2 linked regions of the Canis lupus familiaris genome follow. The protein of the gene in region 1 interacts with the protein of each later gene in a biochemical or structural test. Links are inferred from orthologs where the notes say so. Each region holds a gene or a part of one and is shown in the gene's direction. Other genes may lie near its edges. The genes, in order: MYO5B and RAB11FIP2.

What was found.
Region 2: the proteins of MYO5B (region 1) and RAB11FIP2 form a complex in vitro, tested with the Homo sapiens proteins (2 studies listed by BioGRID). The link is inferred for Canis lupus familiaris from reciprocal best matches to the Homo sapiens genes MYO5B and RAB11FIP2.

Annotation. Positions count from the first base shown.
Region 1 is NC_049228.1:79,032,638-79,036,459, forward strand, and holds part of MYO5B (unconventional myosin-Vb), read left to right. Parts: intron 1-562; coding exon 563-774; intron 775-2,440; coding exon 2,441-2,597; intron 2,598-3,822. UniProt on the Homo sapiens protein: May be involved in vesicular trafficking via its association with the CART complex. The CART complex is necessary for efficient transferrin receptor recycling but not for EGFR degradation.
Region 2 is NC_049249.1:28,717,130-28,719,918, reverse strand, and holds part of RAB11FIP2 (rab11 family-interacting protein 2), read left to right. Parts: intron 1-192; coding exon 193-420; 3' UTR 421-2,789. UniProt on the Homo sapiens protein: A Rab11 effector binding preferentially phosphatidylinositol 3,4,5-trisphosphate (PtdInsP3) and phosphatidic acid (PA) and acting in the regulation of the transport of vesicles from the endosomal recycling compartment (ERC) to the plasma membrane.

The DNA of each region.
Region 1 (3,822 bases):
TCAGAGCGTGACCAGGGGCCTCCTGTCCCGTTGTGTGCTGCAGGACCCCTGCTGAGTCCCCCTGCCGACCCCGCCCCTGCCCTGAACCAGGCTCTCCTGCTCTGCAAACATATGTAGCTCTCGGCTGGCACAGGACACCTGCCCCTTCCCTGCTCTTCTGGAACTTTCTTCCTCTGTGTTTTCCTAGGACTGCCTGCCTTCAGTTTATTCAGATTTCTGTTCACATGTCATGTCCACAGAAATGCCTTCCTGGATGATTATCCTGTTTAAACATCCCATCCCACCCTTACATCCCCAGTTTTACTGTCTTCGTGATCTTCACCGCTACCTGAAAACTTTGCCTTTTGTGCTCTCACCGTGATGTCAGCTGCTTGAGGGCAGGTGTCCCGTTCACAGCTGTGCCCCGGACATCTTAGCCGTGAATCTAGTGGAGGGAACTTGGTGTGCTCGGTGGGTGCTAGAGGGACTGAGCATCCAAGGGGCTCTAGCAAGGGAACCATGCACAGGAGGACAGGGGCAGCACAGGTGACCTCACTGGTGCTCCCCTCCCTGCCTGCTAAAGGATCCTGACAAGTTCCAGTTTGGCCGCACCAAGATTTTCTTCCGGGCCGGCCAGGTGGCCTACCTAGAGAAGCTTCGGGCTGACAGGTTCCGGGCCGCTACCATCATGATCCAGAAGACAGTCCGGGGCTGGCTTCAGAGGGTGAAGTACCGCCGGCTGAAGATAGCGGCCTTAACGCTGCAGAGGTACTGCCGAGGACACCTGGCCCGCAGGTGAGCCACGCTGGGGCCCATCTGGGTGGCAGGTTGGGGTGTGGGGTGGGGATGTGCAGACTGGGCACCTGTCACCTGTGCACTTCTCACCTGGGGGACTGAGTCTAGTTCCAAGCCTCTTCGTCCCTGTAGTCTGTCCCCATCCCACCAGCACTAACCTGGGATGGGCTGGGTTTGCCCCTAAAGCACCGTGTTTCCTTTGCCCAAATCCCAGGGTAGCCTTTCAGATAGACAAACCCCGCCTTTCACAGCTTCCACTGAGCATTGTGGTTTAAGCCCCGACCCCCCCACAGTCCCTCAGGAACTTGGTAATTAGAGCCGGGAAGGTCCCAGGGATCCCCAGGTCCCCATTGTGCGTCCTTGCACAGAGCTAGGGACTGACCTGTGTAAACATGGTGGGTGGGGGCCGGGTGCCCACCCGGCTCCATGTGGCAGACCTTTCCCCTCCTCCCCGATCTCCTGGGCCCATGAGGCACCAGAGCAGAGTGAGCCTCTCCCCTGGGAGGGCACATGGCGCATGGTGCCCGTCAGACTACCCACAGCGCACAACCTGCTCTCCCCGTAAGGGGGTTACCTTGGAGGAGTGGCCATCGAGTCATATCTGCTGCAATATTGAAGGAAAAAGAAAGCCTGTGAGTGACATGTCAGAGCAGGCATCCTCTGTACTGTAAACGCGAAGCTGGCCCCTGCCTGCCCTCCCATCCCTGCTCTGAGCTGCTTGTCCGAATGGAACCAGAGGTGACCTCGGAGCCACCCAGGTGCTCCCCCTGGAACAGAAGCTATAGAGGTGAAAAGCTGTCAGCAGCATCCGCACTAGGTGGCTGTGGACAGTCAAGCCACCCAGCAGGTCCCGGCAGAGCAGCCTGCACCTGCAAGCTCACCCTAGCTGGCAGCCGGCGACAATCTGAAACCAAGTCGGTCCATGTTCTCCCTGAGGGAGTTTGTGTCTCCGGTGGCTGCATGGGGAGAAAGTGCTCGACTGCACAGGTTCACTCCAGCAGGTGGGGCCGCAGGCCCCTCCCCACTTCCCCCACAGGCTCTCCTGGATGGTTTCCCAGGGCCTTTTCGCTTTGAGCCTGGTGCCACCCAAAGCCCTGAAGTGGGTGAGAAGTGTCAGGCTGAGCCATCCCACCTGGGGGCACGGAGGGGAACATTGGCACGAAGCAGGCAGGTTGGGTGTCCATGTGTCACAGCAGAAAGGGCAGGGAGACGAGGAAGCAGGGGGAGGCGGGTGCGGGCCTGGCAAGGGTTTATGCCATCAGCACACATACAAGCACCTGTTGGCTCGACCCTCTTGAGGTGTCGCAGGCAAGCATGTTGGAGACCTGGCTCCCGGGTTTGCACATCCGGAGACAGGGCATAGGGCAGGAGCGTAAACTCGTGGTGTCCCCAGGGACTGCCCAGGTTGGAGTTGGGGCTCCCAGTGGGGACTGAGCCCAGGGGCATTGTGGAGCTGCTCAGACCCAGACTGAGTTTAGGTTTGTGGGAAGACAGACCACATGGAGGGAGCTTTTGGAGCCGTTCAGGGCTGGCACGCGAGTCCTCATGGCATGGCTGTGTGGAGGGCTGATGCCAGCTGGGCCCTGAGAGTCCCAGCAGGGCTGCAGGGAGAGGCCAGCCTCGCAGGGGCCTCGAGGCCACATCAGCAGGGCCCCTCCCTTTCCAGGCTGGCTGAGCACCTGCGGAGGACACGGGCTGCCATCGTGCTCCAGAAGCAGTGCCGTATGTGGAGGGCCCGCCAGGCCTACCAGAGGGTTCGTGGGGCCGCCGTTGTCATCCAGGCCTTCGCAAGGGGCATGTTCGTGCGGAGGATCTACCAGCAGGTGTGTGGCCTCCCCAGGGGCCTCCCATGTGGATAGAGGACTAAAGCAGCGGCGGGTAGACGGTCCCCACCGTGAACGTCACGGGGTGCCCCTGACTCTCTTCTATGGGGTTCCACATCGTTGCTCCCACTGAATCTTTTCACGGTCCCATGAGCTGTAGTGCGTTAGTATCTCCAGAGACACGGAACCCACAGGAGAAGTGCGGGTGTGAATGCACATACACAGAGACCCTCAGGAAGTGGCCCACCCATGACAGAGGCTGGGAAGTCCCACTGTCTGCTGTCCACAGGCTGAAGGCCCGAGAACCAGGGGAGTGGGCAGTGTGCATGCTGGACCCGGGGCAGGACCGGGGGAGAGATGAGGTAGGGAAGGGGTGCATAACCTTCCTCAGGCGCTCGGGGGTTATGTCCTCCTGCCCTGGGGATGGCAGCCCAGGGATTCAGCGCTCATCTCCTCTACAGACACCTGCAGGCAGGGTGACTGTGACCTTCGCGGGCAGGATGGGCATGTTTCGCTGTGCCCCTGGGGTGGCTGAGGGGCCAGGGAAGCTGTCACCCGCACGGGCGCTTGTCCAGTTGGGGCAGCACCTGCTGACCTGTCCAGGGCTCAGTGAGGCATGAGAGCAAGGGAGATGTTGGCATCGGGGTCTCACCTCACCCACTCGAAGGGTGAACAGCTGACGTCAGAAGGGGGGCACCTGGCCTCCCTGCCGGGCCACTATTCCCAGGACACTGAAGTATGCATGGAGCCCTGGTCAGGGCACCCCCGTTCCACCACAGCACCCCTGAACCACCAAAGCTCAAAGCTATGGTGCGGGACAGGTTGGAAGGAAACGTCCAGAACACTTTTTTTCCTAAAAAGAACATTTTTCTGTGATCAGAGAAGGTAAGATTTTCTTTAAAAAAAAAAAAAAAAAAAAAAACAATGCTGAAGGGAGCATGAAAAACAAAACCTAGTCCCACACGAGATGGGGGGAGTACTCAGGTATAATGGGGGGACGCCCGGGTCACTGGGGCCAAGTGTGTGAACCTGCCTGGGAGGTGGGTGACCTCTGCGCACCGTCCTCAGGAGGGGTAGGTGACTCGTGGGGGGCACACACTGCGAACCCAGGCTGCACCTCAGAGCTACAGCACTGGGCTCGTTGCTCGTTCACTCATTTACACACACACACACACACACACACACACACACACCAGACACGAGGGTGGTGTTAGAGTATTTCTTA
Region 2 (2,789 bases), on another chromosome or scaffold:
TGCACCTGCCCTAGTTCTTGCCTCAGGACTGGCCAGCCATGGTGTGAACTGTTGTCTTGGTTCTAGGCAAGGGCACAGAAGAAGCTTGATCATAATTTGAAAAATCAAAAGTTGAAGTTCAAAATCATTCTTAACTTGCCCCCCACTGCCATGTTCTGTCTCCTAAAATGACCCATCTTTCTCCTGCTCCAGGACAGCAACCCTTTTGATGCCACTGCAGGGTACCGTGGTCTGACCTATGAGGAGGTCCTACAGGAGCTCGTGAAGCACAAGGAGCTCCTCAGGAGGAAAGACACGCACATCCGGGAACTCGAGGACTACATCGACAATCTCCTCGTCAGGGTCATGGAGGAAACACCCAGTATCCTCAGAGTGCCATACGAACCATCCAGGAAGGCTGGCAAGTTCGCCAACAGTTAATAAGCCAGTTGTACGACATGTGTGATGAGGGGCAAAAAGGAAAGAAGAAAGAGCAAAAGAAAGCAGAAAATCTTGGCACTGCAAGAAACTACATTATCAGGCTTCATTACATACTCCACTCCATTGCAAAAAGTTATTTTACCTGTAAATATTAGCAGGGACCATCAAGAGTGACCTCTGAAGTGAGCTAAACAATTTAAACATTTAAAGTGAAAACAGGCAAGATTCCCAATGAATAAGCAGTTCTTTAGGATTCACTTAGGTGCTGGCACTGGGCTACTAACCTGCCATAGGCCTAGGGACAGCTTCAGAAGGATGTGACTTATTATTCCTCAGGAATAGAGCTCATAAAGCAGAATTGATGCTGTAGCTGGTTTCTCAGAAGTCCGTTTGTAGACATAATTAGCTGCAGGAATACCGTTCAGTATAACACTAAAAAAAAAAAAAGTTCATATTTTATATGCATATATATGTACATGAATGTATGTTCATGTATCTTTGTATATAAAATACATGCATATACCTCATAGATACATGTGTTTTTAGAACATTTAAAAACAACTGATTGCCTCTAAAATTAGGATACCAGTTTCTTAATTTGAAAATCTATGTGTGCTCTATCGATGCAGAACAAATCATCATTGCTACTAGCACAGTTTGTTATAGGGAAGCTGCTTCAGATCACTCTTGACTTGGCAAATCTTCGTTTCAAAATGAGCTGCTCCTATATATTATTCCAGCATCAGATGTTTGCTCTTTTTCTCAAAGGAATGATCCAAAGGGTTTTGGGTTTTTTTGTTTTTTTTTTTTTTCAAAGCATGACATGTTATAGGAAACTTGACTAGTGTCACAAGAGTACGAATTTCTTGAGTGAATTTTTTATCTTAACACTTGAATTCTGTGTAAGTAGAAGAGAAGCTAATATAGTCTGTTTTGTTGAGATTCTGAATGCCCTTAAATCCCTAGCAAAGAAAATATTAGGAAGTTAGATCTGAAAGTAATTCTAAGGGAAAAAAAGTAGGTGATCGTCTGATGCCTGATAACCCAAAGCAATGGGCAAATTTTAGGAATGAAGAATTCGGCTTGGTTTCAAGTTACATAAATAATAGAACAGATGGTTGCATTTGGGTCTTGAACCAAAATAAGAGCCATTGAAGGAGGAGTGAATTCTTGGAACAGAACTTCACTCGCATGGCACTATCTACTATTCTTCGGCCACCCTTAAGAATTGGTTAATTACAAAATTATATGTACACTCTTTTTATAAAATCCACACCCCCAAAATATCAGGCACTTGCGTGAATTATCTTGATATATTTGTACTGAATTAGCCTGGAATGTAAAGTGAAAACAATGGTACGAAAATATTACTAATCATCTATTTTTTCCCTTAAAAATCTAAAATACTTACTATGAAACACTGAATCCGTGTCTCTGGTTTTAAATGGAAAAATTCACCTGTATATGGAGACATGTATTCTCCAGGCTTTTAATGAACTGCATTTTTGTCTAATATTTTTCTCCACAGACTTTATTGAAAATTCAGTACAAAGCAGAATAGTTTTGCTCATTTTAATATTTTGAATCAGATAATACTTGGCCAAGTGTATATTCATGAGCTAAAATTGCTCGTTTGTATTTTCTGAGTTTCTTTAGTTTTCCTATGAGAGCATACATTTTGAAATTCTGAGAACTTTTCCTAAATACAAAAAATTGAATAATTTTTTTAAATGAAGTGGAGAAGGAAAAACATCTTTTACCAACTTTTTTTTTCCATTTATAAATTTCTGTAGTAAACCTCAAAATCTGGTTTAGAATGCTATTTTCTCATTTGAGGTCTTAGTAATTATTATTTTCTAACAGGGTGCCATTTTTAGTTAATATGTTATTAAATATTACAAAATTCTTAGCACTTTTTTTCTGTTGGTATAACTGAAACTCTTCTTATACTTTTTAAAATACTAATATCCATGCGTTTTCAGTATTATGACAGATTATCTGGAGATATTTTAATATGCTTCGGCCAAATTTGTTCTTTATAAAATGAACCAAGATGTCAGTTTTATATTGGGGATATGTTTTATGTAAATAGAATTCGTTATAAAGTATTGTTCAAATACTACTATTCTTTTTATGAGGAAATTCATTTCTAAGGAGAGGCTCCACACCAGGATGAGACTGTTAAGGATTAGATTTATCAGACGTGAATGATTTGGTTATAACTGAATCAATATTTTTATCTTTCAATCTGAGACAAGAATTGTACTGAAATCTGAATCTGCACTTGTCACTGCCTGAAAATGTTCTGCAACGTTTATGAACTTCCGCTCATGACCTAGAGTCAAACGTATTACATGTTTTCATAATTG